Linked DNA regions of Xenopus tropicalis. The main gene of each other region encodes a partner of the protein of the gene in region 2 in a complex. Links are inferred from orthologs where the notes say so. Each region holds a gene or a part of one and is shown on either strand. Other genes may lie near its edges.

The links. The genes of interacting proteins can lie anywhere in the genome.
Region 1: stac3 (region 2) and cacng1 share a complex: the UniProt entries of both Homo sapiens proteins name them as parts of the calcium channel complex. The link is inferred for Xenopus tropicalis from reciprocal best matches to the Homo sapiens genes STAC3 and CACNG1.

What each region holds. Positions count from the first base shown.
Region 1 is NC_030686.2:51,094,142-51,104,327, forward strand, and holds the start of cacng1 (voltage-dependent calcium channel gamma-1 subunit), read left to right. Parts: upstream 1-4,225; 5' UTR 4,226-4,282; coding exon 4,283-4,523; intron 4,524-10,186. UniProt on the Homo sapiens protein: Regulatory subunit of the voltage-gated calcium channel that gives rise to L-type calcium currents in skeletal muscle. Regulates channel inactivation kinetics.
Region 2 is NC_030678.2:140,048,544-140,058,065, reverse strand, and holds part of stac3 (SH3 and cysteine-rich domain-containing protein 3), read left to right. Parts: intron 1-3,338; coding exon 3,339-3,436; intron 3,437-5,094; coding exon 5,095-5,155; intron 5,156-5,828; coding exon 5,829-5,878; intron 5,879-8,133; coding exon 8,134-8,225; intron 8,226-9,522. UniProt on the Homo sapiens protein: Required for normal excitation-contraction coupling in skeletal muscle and for normal muscle contraction in response to membrane depolarization. Required for normal Ca(2+) release from the sarcplasmic reticulum, which ultimately leads to muscle contraction.

The DNA.
Region 1 (10,186 bases), on a different chromosome or scaffold from region 2:
GTATAACTCAGCCTGCAGCCTTGTGCCTTTATATGGGGGGCACAGAACCCCTCAGTGACTGCTAATATCCTTATCATTTACAGTAGGGGGTACATTATCCCTTATAATACATGAGTGATACTCAGAGTTCCCTGTATAACTCAGCCTGCAGCCTTGTGCCTTTATATGGGGGGCACAGAACCCCTCAGTGACTGCTAATATCCTTATCATTTACAGTAGGGGGTACAGTATCCCTTATAATACATGAGTGATACTCAGAGTTCCCTGTATAACTCAGCCTGCAGCCTTGTGCCTTTATATGGGGGGCACAGAACCCCTCAGTGACTGCTAATATCCTTATCATTTACAGTAGGGGGTACAGTATCCCTTATAATACATGAGTGATACTCAGAGTTCCCTGTATAACTCAGCCTGCAGCCTTGTGCCTTTATATGGGGGGCACAGAGCCCCTCAGTGACTGCTAATATCCTTATCATTTACAGTAGGGGGTACATTATCCCTTATAATACATGAGTGATACTCAGAGTTCCCTGTATAACTCAGCCTGCAGCCTTGTGCCTTTATATGGGCACAGAACCCCTCAGTGACTGCTAATATCCTTATCATTTACAGTAGGGGGTACATTATCCCTTATAATACATGAGTGATACTCAGAGTTCCCTGTATAACTCAGCCTGCAGCCTTGTGCCTTTATATGGGGGCACAGAACCCCTCAGTGACTGCTAATATCCTTATCATTTACAGTAGGGGGTACATTATCCCTTATAATACATGAGTGATACTCAGAGTTCCCTGTATAACTCAGCCTGCAGCCTTGTGCCTTTATATGGGGGGCACAGAACCCCTCAGTGACTGCTAATATCCTTATCATTTACAGTAGGGGGTACATTATCCCTTATAATACATGAGTGATACTCAGAGTTCCCTGTATAACTCAGCCTGCAGCCTTGTGCCTTTATATGGGCACAGAACCCCTCAGTGACTGCTAATATCCTTATCATTTACAGTAGGGGGTACATTATCCCTTGTTGTTCTTCCTTCTCCCCAGTGGGGCCCCCCTGCTTGAGCTCAATGGCAGGTAAAAGGCAAATGTGCTTCTCTTGTAGCTGATTGTACTACGCAGGGGCCCCCCGCTGTGTCTAGGGGTGCAGGAAATATAAGGGAAATTATCGGTTGCAGTACCAGGTCTCACCACTAGCAGCCAACATCCTGTATTTCCCATAGGGCTACAGCACAACAGCGCCACTGCCTGTAAATCTGGGCATCACCTGACCCTCCAGCTTCTGTAAGTGGCCAATCATAGGGCGCAATCCCTCAGCTGTCAGACGAGAGGGTGGGGGGTGAGTCAGGGACTGGGGGGTTTTGGGGTGAGTCAGGGACTGGGGGGTTTTGGGGTGAGTCAGGGACTGGGGGGTTTTGGGGTGAGTCAGGGACTGGGGGGTTTTGGGGTGAGTCAGGGACTGGGGGGTTTTGGGGTGAGTCAGGGACTGGGGGTTTTTGGGGTGAGTCAGGGACTGGGGGTTTTTGGGGTGAGTCAGGGATTGGGGGGTTTTGGGGTGAGTCAGGGACTGGGGGGTTTTGGGGTGAGTCAGGGATTGGGGGGTTTTGGGGTGAGTCAGGGACTGGGGGGTTTTGGGGTGAGTCAGGGACTGGGGGGTTTTGGGGTGAGTCAGGGATTGGGGGGTTTTGGGGTGAGTCAGGGACTGGGGGGTTTTGGGGTGAGTCAGGGATTGGGGGTTTTGGGGTGAGTCAGGGACTGGGGGGTTTTGGGGTGAGTCAGGGACTGGGGGGTTTTGGGGTGAGTCAGGGATTGGGGGGTTTTGGGGTGAGTCAGGGACTGGGGGGTTTTGGGGTGAGTCAGGGACTGGGGGGTTTTGGGGTGAGTCAGGGACTGGGGGGTTTTGGGGCGAGTCAGGGACTGGGGGGTTTTGGGGTGAGTCAGGGATTGGGGGTTTTGGGGTGAGTCAGGGACTGGGGGGTTTTGGGGTGAGTCAGGGACTGGGGGGTTTTGGGGTGAGTCAGGGACTGGGGGGTTTTGGGGTGAGTCAGGGACTGGGGGGTTTTGGGGTGAGTCAGGGACTGGGGGGTTTTGGGGTGAGTCAGGGACTGGGGGGTTTTGGGGTGAGTCAGGGATTGGGGGGTTTTGGGGTGAGTCAGGGACTGGGGGGTTTTGGGGCGAGTCAGGGACTGGGGGGTTTTGGGGTGAGTCAGATGTTCCTGGGAGTCGGATTCCCTAACTGTGGGTGCTGTAGCTCAGGAGTCGCAATGGATTCGCTTCACTTGTCCCATCGCATCAGTCGCAGATTCCTTTCTGCTGTTTAAAGGACAAGTAAACCCAAAGTGTTCATTCCTTTTGCTGAAATGGGGCCCAGCCTTTGCCCAGGGAAGCACATTGGCCCACGTTTCACTCCAACTTCAGTTCCCCCCTTAACCCCCGACTGGGCCAGCGGGAGAAACTAAGTCCCAGGGCTGATGGGGGGGGGGGGGGGATTTACTCACATTAACACCTCGACCACTGAGAGGCCTATTGTTACTGGCCCATCCCGCTGCCCCCCGGCCAATCACATCTTCTACACTCAGAACTACCGCATCCGATTGGCCTAATCTGGGCCCCAAAACATTAAGGAACATTAAGTGGATATTGGGGAGTGCAGAGTTCCCCTTTAATAAACTGCATGGTGTCACTTTACATGGTACTGTGCCCCCCCCCCCCCCAATCCTGCATAAAGCAATGAGGGGGTTGATAGTGACTTGGTGCAAGAGGCTGAAAGGAGCAAAGGCTAGTACAGGGGCAGTATGGGGCAGTTGGGGTAGGAGCAGGGGCATTATGGGGCAGTTGGGGTAGGAGCAGGGGCAGTATGGGGCAGTTGGGGTAGGATGGGGCAGTTGATCAATAGTAGGGGCAGGACGGGGCAGTTGGGCTAGGAGCAGGGGCAGTATGGGGCAGTTGGGGTAGGACGGGGCAGTTGATCAATAGTAGGGGCAGGACAGGGCAGTTGGGCTAGGGGCAGTATGGGGCAGTTGGGGTAGAAGCAGGGGCAGTATGGGACAGTTGGGGTAGGAGCAGGGGCAGTATGGGACAGTTGGGGTAGGAGCAGGGGCAGTATGGGACAGTTGGGGTAGGAGCAGGGGCAGTATGGGACAGTTGGGGTAGGAGCAGGGGCAGTATGGGACAGTTGGGGTAGGAGCAGGGGCAGTATGGGACAGTTGGGGTAGGAGCAGGGGCAGTATGGGACAGTTGGGGTAGGAGCAGGGGCAGTATGGGACAGTTGGGGTAGGAGCAGGGGTAGGGGCAGGGGCAGTATGGGACAGTTGGGGTAGGAGCAGGGGCAGTATGGAGCAGTTGGGGGGGGGGTATGGGCAGTTGGGTAGGATGGGCAGTTGATCAATAGTAGGGCAGGACGGGGCAGTTGGGCTAGGAGCAGGGGCAGTATGGGGCAGTTGGGCTAGGACGGGGCAGTTGATCAATAGCAGGGGCAGTATGGGCAGTTGGGGTAGGAGCAGGGGCAGTATGGGACAGTTGGGGTAGGAGCAGGGGCAGCATGGGACAGTTGGGGTAGGAGCAGGGCAGTATGTGGCAGTTGGGGTAGGAGCAGGGGCAGTATGGGGGCAGTTGGGTAGGAGCAGGGGCAGTATGTGGCAGTTGGGGTAGGAGGCAGGGGCAGCATGGGACAGTTGGGTAGGAGCAGGGGCAGTATGGGGCAGTTGGGGTAGGAGCAGGGGCAGTATGGGGCAGTTGGGGTAGGAGCAGGGGCAGTATGGGGCAGTTGGGTAGGACGGGGCAGTTGGGGTAGGAGCAGGGGCAGTATGGGGCAGTTGGGGTAGGAGCAGGGGCAGTATGGGGCAGTTGGGGTAGGAGCAGGGGCAGTATGGGGCAGGATGGGGCAGTTGGGGTAGGAGCAGGGGCAGTATGGGGCAGTTGGGGTAGGAGCAGGGGCAGTATGGGGCAGTTGGGGTAGGATCAGGGGCAGTATGGGGCAGTTGGGGTAGGACGGGGCAGTTGATCAATAGCAGGGGGTTGTGCAACTATCAGAGTGACAGGAGGGACGGGGGAAGTTGCGACACTTGGAGTGAAGGTGGCACCCCCCCCCCGCTCCGTGTATTAATAAGCCCCCCCCGCCCCCCCACCCATGTCTGTGCCCAGTTGGTGACTGATCCCAACAGCTGCTCCCGGGCCCGGCCCATCCCAGTCTCCCCCAGTGTCGGCCCCAGTAGCACAAGGAGCCACAGAGCAGAGGGAGTAGACTGAGCGCTCACTAGCCAAGGGCCCCAGCCAGTAGCCATGAAGGAGCTGAAGGTGCTGAAGATCCGGGTCACGTCCTGTATCGCCCTGGTGGGCATCTCGCTCATGTTGGCGGCCGTAATGAGCGACCACTGGGCCGTACTGAGCCCCAAACTGGACGACGACACCCAGTCCTGCGAGGTGGCCCACTTTGGCCTATGGAGGCTGTGTAAGAAGAAGATTTTCATGAGTGATCAGGAGACTATGATCAAGGGATGTGGCCCCCTGAGCCTTCCTGGGGGTAAGTAAGTCAGGGTAACCAGGCAACAAAGATTCTTTCCCCAACTTGCCCCCCAAATTCTGATTCCAGGGTTCCCATTTCATCTGGGGGCCAACCTGTAACTGTTCCACATAGGGGGGCTGGAGTGTGGGGGCCGGGGGGGCCCTACTTAATGAACAATTGATATTGGTTCCTTATTGCCGTTGGGCACTCACTGGGTAGGTCCCTTGGGCGCTCACTGGGTAGGACCTCAGGGCGCTCACTGGGTAGGACCTCAGCCGGGCACACTGGGTAGGACCCTTGGGCACTCACTGGGTAGGACCCTTGGGCGCTCACTGGGTAGGACCCTTGGGCGCTCACTGGGTAGGACCCTTGGGCGCTCACTGGGTAGGACCCTTGGGCGCTCACTGGGTAGGTCCGTTGGGCGCTCACTGGGTAGGACCTCAGGGCGCTCACTGGGTAGGACCCTTGGGCGCTCACTGGGTAGGACCTCAGGGCGCTCACTGGGTAGGACCTCAGGGCGCTCACTGGGTAGGACCTCAGGGCGCTCACTGGGTAGGACCTCAGGGCGCTCACTGGGTAGGTCCATTGGGCGCTCACTGGGTAGGACCTCAGGGCGCTCACTGGGTAGGACCTCAGGGCGCTCACTGGGTAGGACCATTGGGCGCTCACTGGGTAGGACCATTGGGCGCTCACTGGGTAGGACCTCAGGGCGCTCACTGGGAAGGACCTCAGGGCGCTCACTGGGTAGGACCTCAGGGCGCTCACTGGGTAGGACCTCAGGGCGCTCACTGGGTAGGACCTCAGGGCGCTCACTGGTAGGACGATTGGGCGCTCACTGGGTAGGACCTCAGGGCGCTCACTGGGTAGGACCTCAGGGCGCTCACTGGGTAGGACCTCAGGGCGCTCACTGGGTAGGACCTCAGGGCGCTCACTGGGTAGGACCTCAGGGCGCTCACTGGGTAGGACCTCAGGGCGCTCACTGGGTAGGACCTCAGGGCGCTCACTGGGTAGGACGATTGGGCGCTCACTGGGTAGGACCTCAGGGCGCTCACTGGGTAGGACCTCAGGGCGCTCACTGGGTAGGACCTCAGGGCGCTCACTGGGTAGGACCTCAGGGCGCTCACTGGGTAGGACCTCAGGGCGCTCACTGGGTAGGACCGTTAGGCACTCACTGGTAGGACCTCAGGGCGCTCACTGGGTAGGACCTCTGGGCGCTCACTGGGTAGGACCGTTAGGCACTCACTGGTAGGACCTCAGGGCGCTCACTGGGTAGGACCTCTGGGCGCTCACTGGGTAGGACCTCAGGGCACTCACTGGGTAGGACCTCAGGGCACTCACTGGGTAGGACCTCAGGGCACTCACTGGGTAGGACCTCAGGGCGCTCACTGGGTAGGACCTCAGGGCGCTCACTGGGTAGGACCTCAGGGCGCTCACTGGGTAGGACCTCAGGGCGCTCACTGGGTAGGACCTCAGGGCACTCACTGGGTAGGACCGTTGGGCACTCACTGGGTAGGACCGTTGGGCACTCACTGGGTAGGACCTCAGGGCACTCACTGGGTAGGACCATATGGCAATCCGCTGGCCTATGAGGCTCAGTATACCAAGGCAGGACCATCTATCACTGGTGCGGGGGGAGTAGGGCCCATGGATTATAGGAGGGGCCACCTCTGTCTGCAGCCCCCCCACACTCATGGGTCTGCCCCCACCCAGTGGCCCCATGTGTGGTGATTCAGGTGATGCCCCTCCCCAGTATCTGGTCACTGGGGGTAAGAGGCAGAGCAAGGGACCCCCTAAACTTCTCCCTGCCCTCTACCCCATATTTCCTACCCCTATGGGGGGTTGTTAGTGATCACTGGGCAGAGGGAAATACATAAAGTATGTATGTAAATAGGTATGTATGTATGTAAATAGGTATGTATGTAAATAGGTATGTATGTAAATAGGTAAGTATGTATGTAAATAGGTATGTATGTATGTAAATAGGTATGTATGTATGTAAATAGGTATGTATGTAAATAGGTATGTATGTAAATAGGTATGTATGTAGGTAAATAGGTATGTATGTATGTAAATAGGTATGTATGTATGTAAATAGGTATGTATGTAAATAGGTATGTATGTAAATAGGTATGTATGTAGGTAAATAGGTATGTATGTATGTAAATAGGTATGTATGTAGGTAAATAGGTATGTATGTAGGTAAATAGGTATGTATGTATGTAAATAGGTATGTATGTATGTAAATAGGTATGTATGTATGTAAATAGGTATGTATGTAGGTAAATAGGTATGTATGTATGTAAATAGGTATGTATGTAGGTAAATAGGTATGTATGTAAATAGGTATGTATGTATGTAAATAGGTATGTATGTAAATAGGTATGTATGTATGTAAATAGGTATGTATGTAGGTAAATAGGTATGTATGTATGTAAATAGGTATGTATGTATGTATGTAAATAGGTATGTATGTAAATAGGTATGTATGTAAATAGGTATGTATGTAGGTAAATAGGTATGTATGTAGGTAAATAGGTATGTATGTATGTAAATAGGTATGTATGTAGGTAAATAGGTATGTATGTAGGTAAATAGGTATGTATGTAGGTAAATAGGTATGTATGTAGGTAAATAGGTATGTATGTAGGTATAATTTGTGTACAAATTGTAGCCAAATATTGCTTCTAGCTGCTATGTAGCCTTTAAACCAATGAATCACTTCCATGTGAGTGCTACTGAGCTGGGGTTTGAGCTAAAGGTGCAATAGGTCTCACTACTCACTCACATTGTTTCCTGGGGGACTTTATTTTAATTGCATCACAGACTCAAAGTCATTAGACAGTGTAGGACTCGCGTATAATGAGGGGCCTTGACGCGGCACGTGAGCTTACATATTTTGGCCAAAGTGTGGTACTAACACCTCATTTTTTGTAAAAATTATTTTTAAAGGCAAACTAAGCGCTGGCAAACTTTCTTTCTCTATGTATGTAGGTATGTATGTATGTAAATAGGTATGTATGTAAATATGTATGTATGTAAATAGGTATGTATGTAAATATGTATGTATGTAAATAGGTATGTATGTAAATATGTATGTATGTAAATAGGTATGTATGTAAATAGGTATGTATGTAAATATGTATGTATGTATGTAAATATGTATGTATGTAAATAGGTATGTATGTAAATAGGTATGTATGTAAATAGGTATGTATGTAAATAGGTATGTATGTAAATATGTATGTATGTAAATAGGTATGTATGTAAATATGTATGTAAATAGGTATGTATGTAAATATGTATGTATGTATGTATGTAAATAGGTTTGTATGTAAATAGGTATGTATGTACGTAAATATGTATGTAAATAGGTATGTATGTACGTAAATATGTATGTAAATAGGTTTGTATGTATGTAAATAGGTTTGTATGTATGTAAATAGGTATGTACGTACGTAAATATGTATGTCTGTATGTAAATAGGTATGTATGTAAATAGGTTTGTATGTATGTTAATAGGTATGTACGTACGTAAATATGTATGTCTGTATGTAAATAGGTATGTTTGTACGTAAATAGGTATGTATGTAACTAGGTATGTATGTACATAAATATGTATGTAAATAGGTTTGTATGTATGTAAATAGGTATGTATGTACATAAATATGTATGTAAATAGGTATGTATGTAAATAGGTATGTATGCACATAAATATGTATGTAAATAGGTATGTATGTAAATAGGTATGTAAATAGGTATGTAAATAGGTATGTATGTAAATAGGTATGTATGTAAATAAGTATGTATGTACATAAATATGTATGTAAATAGGTTTGTATGTATGTAAATAGGTATGTATGTAAATATGTACGTATGTAAATAGGTTTATCTGTATGTAAATAGGTATGTACGTAAATATGTATGTCTGTATGTAAATAGGTATGTATGTAAATAGGTATGTATGTAAATAGGTTTGTATGTATGTAAATAGGTATGTACGTATGTAAATATGTATGTCTGTATGTAAATAGGTATGTACGTACGTAAATATGTATGTCTGTATGTAAATAGGTATGTATGTAAATAGGTATGTATGTAAATAGGTTTGTATGTATGTAAATAGGTATGTACGTATGTAAATATGTATGTATGTAAATATGTACGTATGTAAATAGGTTTATCTGTATGTAAATAGGTATGTACGTAAATATGTATGTCTGTATGTAAATAGGTATGTATGTAAATATGTACGTATGTAAATAGGTTTATCTGTATGTAAATAGGTATGTACGTAAATATGTATGTCTGTATGTAAATAGGTATGTATGTAAATAGGTATGTATGTAAATAGGTTTGTATGTATGTAAATAGGTATGTACGTATGTAAATATGTATGTCTGTATGTAAATAGGTATGTACGTACGTAAATATGTATGTCTGTATGTAAATAGGTATGTATGTAAATAGGTATGTATGTAAATATGTATGTAAATAGGTTTGTATGTATGTAAATAGGTATGTATGCAAATAGGTATGTATGTACGTAAATAGGTATGTATGTAAATAGGTATGTATGTACGTAAATATGTATGTAAATAGGTTTGTATGTATGTAAATAGGTATGTATGTACGTAAATATGTATGTCTGTATGTAAATAGGTATGTATGTAAATAGGTACGTATGTAAATAGGTTTATCTGTATGTAAATAGGTATGTACGTAAATATGTATGTCTGTATGTAAATAGGTATGTATGTAAATAGGTATGTATGTAAATAGGTTTGTATGTATGTAAATAGGTATGTACGTATGTAAATATGTATGTCTGTATGTAAATAGGTATGTACGTACGTAAATATGTATGTCTGTATGTAAATAGGTATGTATGTAAATAGGTATGTATGTAAATATGTATGTAAATAGGTTTGTATGTATGTAAATAGGTATGTATGTAAATAGGTATGTATGTACGTAAATAGGTATGTATGTAAATAGGTATGTATGTACGTAAATATGTATGTAAATAGGTTTGTATGTATGTAAATAGGTATGTATGTAAATAGGTATGTATGTACGTAAATATGTATGTCTGTATGTAAATAGGTATGTATGTATGTAAATAGGTATGTATGTATGTAAATAGGTATGTACGTACGTAAATATGTATGTCTGTATGTGAATAGGTATGTATGTACGTAAATATGTATGTAAATAGGTTTGTATGTATGTAAATAGGTATGTATGTAAATAGGTATGTATGTACGGAAATAGGTATGTATGTAAATAGGTATGTATGTACGTAAATATGTACGTCTGTATGTAAATAGGTATGTATGTATGTACGTAAATAGGTATGTATGTAAATAGGTATGTATGTACGTAAATATGTACGTCTGTATGTAAATAGGTATGTATGTATGTAAATAGGTATGTATGTAAATAGGTATGTATGTAAATAGGTATGTATGTATGTAAATAGGTATGTATGTAAATAGGTATGTATGTACGTAAATAGGTATGTATGTAAATAGGTATGTATGTAAATAGGTATGTATGTATGTAAATAGGTATGTATGTAAATAGGTATGTATGTACGTACGTAAATATGTACGTCTGTATGTAAATAGGTATGTATGTATGTAAATAGGTATGTATGTAAATAGGTATGTATGTAAATAGGT
Region 2 (9,522 bases):
CATGGACACTAGAAGTGTAGGAGGGAATGGGTGGCAGCTGCTGAAACCAAAATTGCCAGCATTTGCAAATGGAGCGCATAGGGATGGCTATAGCACCTTTTTGCAATGAAATAAAGAGAAAGGACATTGGTGGAGGTCTAGAGATGGTCTCTGGAATGGATCTGCCACCGGGAGAAATCCTTTATATACAACCTTTAGATTCAGACTTAGCCTTCTACAGACAAACACCTGAAGCCTCCATATTACACCTTCAGTTCTGCCATCAAAGTCGACCAGAACTTTTCCCTACATTTGCAAACAACTGTGCACTTCTAAATTCTAAATTTAATTTTTTTATATCAGAGAGTGACCAATATAAAGATATTATTTACTGTCTAACTAAAAACAAAAGGTAGAACTACTGGGGCTAAGTTGTTAGGCACTCCAAAAGGGACACCAAAATATTATAGTGGTGCAGTATTCACAGGAGAAGTCCCCTTGTGATGGCATTTTTTCTAGAAGTGGGGCATTGGCCCAGGGTAGGAAGTTAGTAACTAGAATAACTGGAGATTCCAACTTTGTACCTCTCAATGATTCTACTGTTTGTTCAGGTGCTTATTTATATGTTTCAGTTCACCTATTCCAAGTCAATAAACAAACATTCTGCAGGGGAGCATGGGATCATTGTAGGAGTACTACAGTATGGCCCATACTGACCTATCTATACACTCACATACAGACCCATACTGACCTATCTATACACTCACATACAGACCCATACTGACCTATCTATACACTCACATACAGACCCATACTGACCTATCTATCCACTCACATACAGACCCATACTGACCTATCTATAGACTCACATACAGACCCATACTGACCTATCTATACACTCACATACAGACCCATACTGACCTATCTATACACTCACATACAGACCCATACTGACTTATCTATACACTCACATACAGACCCATACTGACCTATCTATACACTCACATACAGACCCACACTGACCTATCTATACACTCACATACAGACCCATACTGACCTATCTATACCCTCACATACAGACCCATACTGACCTATCTATACACTCACATACAGACCCATACTGTCCTATCTATACACTCACATACAGACCCATACTGACCTATCTATACACTCACATACAGACCCATACTGACCTATCTATACACTCACATACAGACCCATACTGACCTATCTATACACTCACATACAGACCCATACTGACCTATCTATACACTCACATACAGACCCATACTGACCTATCTATACACTCACATACAGACCCATACTGACCTATCTATACACTCACATACAGACCCATACTGACCTATCTATACACTCACATACAGACCCATACTGTCCTATATATACACTCACATACATAAACTATATATACCAACATCAATACTAACTGTAGATTTTAGTATCACAATAGCCTTGGATATTATGCTTATCCGAGAGCTGATTGTTTTTATGGGAAACAAGAACACCCCCTATCTGCCTATAATCCCCTTTAATGTACTTGTACAGAGTAATCATGTCCCCTAGTACTTCTCCAGAATTTGTTCATAAATCTCTGTCTGCTCTCCTCTATCATCCTATAGATTGAAAATTAGAGAATAAATGATAGAAAAAGTAATCATTTTATTGACACAGCAGTTACATGGTGTCCCTGGGCTGCAGAGGTCTCTCCTGATTGTTTTTCTATTACCAGCACCCACCTATGCAAGATGATAGATGACAGAACAAAACCAATTTCACAGGAGCAAATGATCAATAACTGTTCTGAACAGTGACCACAGGGTGGCATTATGGTACCGCAAGCTCTGTAGGAATAATACTTCTTTACTAACTTCTAGGATTAGATCAGGAATGTGTGTGTCTAAATATATTTAAGCACTTTACATTGTATCATAATATGTATAATTGTATCATAATATGACTATTTAACAAGCCTTCTGTACATTATTCCATGTACTGAGTAGGTAGAATGCAATTAAGTTACCCAATAAGCAGATATCCTTCCTAGGGTAATTGCACATGGGGTGTACTACCCACTGGCATATTTCAACTCGGGACCCAGTATTTTGGGATCCGACTGACCCCTGAATCCTTTGTGAAAGATTTGGGCAAATATTGAATGGAATCGGAATCCTTATTTGCATATAATAAGGCTATGGAAGGGTCAAAGAGAACCGCATTTGAAGCACACAGCTTCTGTGACAAAAAGTCAAGTGATTTTAGGGATTCGGATTTGGTTTGGCCAGGCACATGAATTCGGCTGAATCCAAATCCCAAACAAAAAACACCCATATCATATTAGCCTCTGCCTTTCCCCAAACCCCTTACAGCCAGGCCCGGATTTGTGGAGAGGCCACAAAGGCCCGGGCCTAGGGCGGCAGAAATCTGGGGGTGGCATGCCGCCCCGCCGCACAAAAATCTTTAAATGTGTGCTCCCATACGGAGCAAAGGGGACTTCTCCCCATTGCTCCGTATGCAAGTTGGCCCACGGCACATGCCCGCTTGCACCGCCCCCCCCTCCCGTTCGCGCACTACCGCTGGTCACGCACGCATGCGCACTCGGGGCGGGGGGGGGGGGGGGGCGTGCGACCGGGGGCGGCCTCTGGGCGGGCAGTTTTCAAATCCGGCCCTGCTTACAGCACTGGAACTGGCTGAAATACATAGGCAGAAAATATGCTCCATGGGCAGAAGCATTATTAATATCCCTTTTCCATAACAGATAGACAGAGCTAAAACATGCTGTGTTGAACCATCCATTTATTTGCCCAACATCAAGTGAACCATAATGGCGTATAAGTACATATTTATTCACTAATTTGCACTAGAAGGTGCAAACCCGCAGGCCAGGATCTGTGGCGAGGACACAAAGGCCTGTGCGGCCTAAATTTAGGGGTGGCATGCTGCCAAGCAACAAGTAAATTTTGCTCCCATATGGAGCACAGGGAACGAGACATGCAGAAAACTTCAGCACATCCCGTCCCCAGTGCTCTGTATGTATAGCATCAGCCTAGATGACCTATATTGGGTTTAGATATTATTATACTTACAGAATGAGGGGCCAATTTCTAAATCATATCTTTTCATGTTGGAGCCTTTGTGTACTGCTTGTAAAAAGATACTGATCTTTTTCCTATTTTGGATGCAGTAATACTGACATTTCATATAACATTCTCTATCAAGGCCATGGATAACCCAGCAGTAACGCATTGCCAATGTGTGCAACCGCAAACAGCTTCTTATAGGAGGCTGAGCAGTGCAGTGAGGCGATAGAGGACTTATGTATCTTGTCTGCTTTGTCCCAGCCGCTTCTAATCGTACTGATCCTGTGTTCGATACCCTGAGGGTAGGGGTCATTATGGCAAATAAAGAAAGAAAGAAAGGACAGGATGACAAGAAGAATGTAAGTAACCAGTATATGAGTTTAATGGAATTTTATGAATAGCAAATTAATACAAACTTAAGAGAAAATATACCCCCTTCTTGGTAAAAGCTCATTCAGTTGGGCTTATGTAGAAAAGATTAATACTGTCTGAACTTCCAGATATAAATATAAATGTATTTTTTCTATGCAAATAGACCTGATTCCACAGGTGGAAAGGAGCCCTTTAGAGGCGGGCCAAGTTGGCTGGGTGCCCTAGGCGACCCGGATGGCCACCTCACCCCCACCACTTCCCGCAAGGTGCGCAGACGCGGTGCAGGGGGGGAGCTGTTGGAGTAAGAGATCCAGGCCTAGGGGTTGGCAATGGAGCTACCTGCCTAACGCCCCCTCACTGCTGTGCCCTAGGCAGGTGCCTCTTCTGCCTGCCCCTAGTTCCGGACCTGAAGCCCATTATATCTGTTATTGCTTACAGCTAACAGTTCCCCATCCCTCTTAAGGCTAATGTCCCATGGGGAGATTAGTTGCTCGTGATAAATCTCTGCTACAATGGGCTACTAATCTTCCCGAAAAGCCTTTTTACTTGCAATAAAGGCAATCTCTGGTGAAAAGGCCTACTAACCTTTCCGTGGGACATTAGCCTAAGCTTACACATAAATAGAGATGTAGCGAACTGTTCGCTGTGCGAACATCGGGTGCAAAGTCCGCGAATATTCGCAAGTTTTGGCGTAAGTTCGCGAACGGGTCCACAAATTTTTTTTTTCAGGTTCGCTACATCCCTACACATAAAGCAACCCCACACTTGTTTCAATGTGAAGAGATAGATGCTGGGATTTGAAGTCCCTCTGGTTTAGTGGGTGGTGCACTGATTCTCTGGAAAGCAGATAAATTTTAAATGCCAAAATCTATCAATTCACAATGGAAGATGGGAAGAGTGGGGTTCCATTACATTGTGTGTCTAAGGGCTATGACAGATGGGGAGATTAGTCGGCGCGCTACAAATCTCCCTTGTCGCGGGCAACTAATCTCCCCAAAATGCCATCCCACCAGCTAGAATGTTAATCGCTGGTGGGATGGCATACGCGGTGCCGCAATTAGCCTAAGTAGTGGAAGTTGCCTTGAGAGGGTAGATTTGTCAAATTGTTTTTTTCTTAAGCAAATTCATTCACTCTTCCTACTCTCCTAGCATATTGCTGTATATTGCGTTCATCAAAGTTCCTTCATGTTCTACGGCAGGGGTGGGCGTACGTATGCATTCACGCAGCACTTCTGCATCCCCGGCTTGATCGCAGTCCACCAGAAATCCACAGGGGAACGACTGGTGGACAGCGAATGACGTATTGGCCACCCCTGTTCTAGGGACAATATTCAAGGCAATTTTACCAAAGTGAAACTTTTCAATCACCTCTCTATCAACTTTTATTTTTCTATAGAACTTGTTGTGACTGATTAAATCTGTTGTTAACCATTAAATAAGGTATAGTCCTTATACAGACCATCAGTGTTTTATATTTTAACTTATGTGTTTATGGTTAACAACAGGTATTATGCGGTAACACATCATCACATATTACACAGTGGTACAATAGTAAGTCATTAGAAGGATTAGATTAGATACCATTACCAGTTTAGAACGAAAATTTATTGTAAAATGGAGAGACTAAGTATTCTGCTTTATCTAGCCAATGCTTGAAGAGGAACCCGAGGAACTTCCACCAAAACCAGAAGAGAAACAGGAAGGAGGTGAGAGCAACACCAATTTTCAGAAGAGTCAAGGAGGGTCATTTCTCAACACTGGGAAAAATTGCCCATGGGCAGTAACCTATGGCAACCGATCAAATTGTTCTACATGCAACTGTCTGAAAAAATCCAATCATTGATTGGTTGCTATGGGTTACTGCCCATGGGCAAATTTTCCCAGTACTGATAAATGAGAACCCTTGGTGTCAGTACTTACAGTGTATTGAACTTCCAACTCTTCAAGCCTCTAACTTCCCTTCCCAGTAGCTGACGGCTCTCTGGGGATGCTAGGAGCGACAGTTTGAGAGTTGTTAGTTTGCAGATTGGCCATGACATAACGTGCCTGCTATGCTATCATCTTGATTTCTTCTTTTGATAACTTTGGCGGCCCTATCATACATCTGTTCAGCAATGATGGCAGTTAAGTAATTTAACAGTAATAGCTGTTTTCTGTAATATTATCCCGATGGGAAGGTTGGAGTTTCAATCTCACCGAAGGTCAATTTACTTTTTTCTTCTCTCATAGAACATAATGAGCACCAGTTATAAATAAGTAAATATAATTCCAGGACCAGTGTGTTATTTGTCTCTGAAAAGAAACATGAGGTATTCGAATGAACTGTGCATCGTAAGTGCAGCCTTTCATGGACTCACATGATCTCTTGTTTGATTCTAGACGTGCCTGACGGGGACAAGAAGGGTGAAAAAGGTGGACAGGATGCTAAGGTATTCATTAGAATGTTCAGTAGGCGGTACTAATAAAGCTTTACCTTATAAATGACACGTTCTTGCACCCAAGAGTTTATGTTGATGCTGTCCATAAATATAGTTTAGACTGTACAGCTACTGAAATCCCTGCCACTATATGTTATTCACTGGAGCTAATTATTTCATTTGACACTCAATACTCAAAGGAGATTGGGAAATGTGGTCACAGTGAGGTCTACCTGTAATAACCTCCTTGGAGCGTCGTTAAATATCTCTAGTATTGCTGACAGACAGGACTTACCACCCAATCTTATAAATGGATCTGTCTGGCATACCCACAGTTAGAGACAAAGTGGCCAAGTCAGGAACAGAATAGAGGAAGCAGGAGCATAATTTAAATACAAAGGTTCAGGGTAGGCAGAGTTTGTATGGGGAGCATCATCAGAATGGAAAGTCATCAAGAAATTCCAAGAAAGAGACCAACAGTGAGCAGAAAGATACTGTGTTAATGGGGTTTATAAAGCTCGCAAGGTTCAAAAATATCTAAATTTAAGCTTTTTTGGCATTTATCAATCATTTTACTGCGTATGAAACAGGGAGTAAAACGGCACTATATCCTAAAGTGGTATCACATTAAAGGGGTTGTTCATCTTTGAGTTATCTTTTAGTATAATGTACAGAGTAATATTCTGAGACAATTTGCAACTGGTCTTCATTTTTTATTATTTGTAGTTTTTTTTTTAACTATTTCAATTTTTGTTCAGCTGATCTCCAGTTTGGAGTTTCAGCAGTTACTTGTTTGCTAGGGTCCAAATTACCTTAGCAACCAAGGAGTGGTTTGAATGAGAGACTTATAAAATGTAAGAATAACAATAATTTTGTAGCCTCAGGGGGCAATAGTTTTTTGGCTGCTGGGGTCAGTGACCCCCATTTGAAAGCTTGAAAGATGCAGCAGAGGAAGGCAAATAATTAAAAAACTATAACAAAATAAATAATGAAGACCAGTTGAAAAGTTGCTTAAAATCAGACATTGTATAAGATACTAAAAGTTAACTTAAGGGTGAACAACCCCTGAAACTAGACAAGGATTACCACCAGCCCAATGAAACAACTGGAAAATTATGTAATCACCAAGTACTGAATCCAGTTTTTCTGGATGTGGCCAAATACCGAATCTACCACAAAAGTTCTAGATAAATACAATACAGAATCTATACCCTACGTTGCATATACAAACATTGTATCCAAAACAAATGCACAATTCAGTAATTCTGTTAGCATTTTGCTAAATACAAATCCTAGATTCAGTGTATCTTCGGTCATTACGTCAGTGGGACAGGCACACAGACAGCCCCTTATAACAACTGCTTTGTCACATACATATAGTATATATAGTGGCTGTGATCCTAGACAACCCCCAAAATTGTACTCCCCTGTAAATCTGAGCATCCTTTGGCACACAGCAGTATAAAGTATAACTTAGTAGTGGTCCCATTCATTTTTATGCCATTTAGTAACAAGGAGAAGATATATAACTTTGCGCACATGGACTAAACCATCTAATCCATCTTACCTTTTCAAAGTGTATTGTACATTTTAATTGTAATTGTCCAAGTGCTTGGAGTGCAGAACGCAGTAAATATTGCATTGTGTATAGATATCCTATTCTGTTGCCTGTCGGATAGTGCCAGGAATATTTAGCTGATTTGTTTTCTTCTTGAGCTGCTGGATTTTGTTCTCAGCATCAGAGAATGTTTCATTGTGTGGCTGATAACTCTGCGAAAAAATTTAAGATTTACGTTTTTTAGACAGCAGGTTCCCTCTTTAGTTCATGTTCCTTTAAAACCAAAATATTGTAAAATTCTTGCAGGCAGAAATGGTTCCCTTAGTTTGCTAAACATGAAAAACAAACAAAAACATAAACGCTGTCGCCATTGTTATTATCTATTGGTATATCCAGATATTGATGGTATTTATTTATGTGGACTGATAAATCTTACAAACACATCATTTTTACTGTGCTTTACATGTGGAAGATAAACTATTCTAAGGGTCATTTACTCCGACCCTGGACACAAGGCCTAGAGCACTAAGGGGTGCAAATGTGCACCACGTCAACTACTGACACACTGATTCTTGGTCTGCAGATAAATGAAGGCAAGGAAGCAACCCCTACACTTGCCTCAGCCTTTCCCTGTGCCTACACTTTTTCAGAAATGAATTCATTTTTTGCGCAGCTTTACCTTTCTGCTTCTTTCCATTTGTGGTTATAGAATAAGAAGGCGCAGCCTGGGTTCATGCAGTCCCATTATTTTGTCGCTTTGTATCGCTTCAAAGCCCTGGAGAAGGATGATCTAGATTTTCAGTGAGTATAGCCTTGCTGGCTAGTATAGTCTCATACAGCTATTCTCTAATTTGTGCCCCATGTGAGAGTCATAAACAGAAAGTGCCTTGCTATTTATGTAGTTCCTCAAAGGGTAAAAATGATGCTCAGGGAACTTTGTAAGCACTTTTCCAATTGACCTTGATCATTTTTTTTAAGTTTTAGAGCTGTTAAGCTATTTATTGGTAATATAATGTGCTACCTGCTGGTCAGTTGCTCTGACTGTATGGTGGTAAAGATATATGTTCAGAAGGAAAACAGAAAACTGTTCTAATGTTGCTTTGTGTAGGAAAGAAGCACAAACCTCAGATAACTTTGCAGATTGACCCAGTTTCAGCAAATTAGCCCAAGTGTTTGGAGGGAGTATAGGCTTCTATAGGTATGGGATCCATTATTCAGAAACCTGTTATCTAGAAAGTTCCAAATTATTGGTTAGCCATCTCCCATAGACTCCATTTTAAGCAAATAATTCATATTTAAAAATAAAATCCTTTTTCTTATAATCCTAAATTATAACCTAATCCCAACTAAAATATAATTAATCCTTATTGGAAGCAAAATAATCCTAATGGGTTTAATTAATGTTTGGAGGTCCAAATTATGGAAAGATCCCTTATCCATTAAACCGCAGGTCCCAAGCATTCTGAATAATAAATCTCATACTTACTCTCATAATTCAAGATGTAAGGGCAATTTGATAAATGTTTATTACTAATTTAATATGTGTACATTCTATTTAGTAAAGGTTTCATGCTCTGTTTTTGGATTGTGAAAGTAATATCCCATAATAATATCCCCTAGGAAGGAATATCCCATAATAATATCCCCTAGAAAGGAATATCCCATGATAATATCCCCTAGAAAGGAATATCCCATGATAATATCCCCTAGGAAGGAATATCCCATAATAATATCCCCTAGAAAGGAATATCCCATAATAATATCCCCTAGAAAGGAATATCCCATGATAATATCCCCTAGGAAGGAATATGCCATGATAATATCCCCTAGAAATGAATAGCCCATGATAATATCCCCTAGGAAGGAATATCCCATGATAATATCCCCTAGAAAGGAATATCCCATAATAATATCCCCTAGAAAGGAATATCCCATGATAATATCCCCTAGAAAGGAATATCCCATAATAATATCCCCTAGAAAGGAATATCCCATGATAATATCCCCTAGAAAGGAATATCCCATGATAATATCCCCTAGAAAGGAATATCCCATAATAATATCCCCTAGAAAGGAATATCCCATGATAATATCCCCT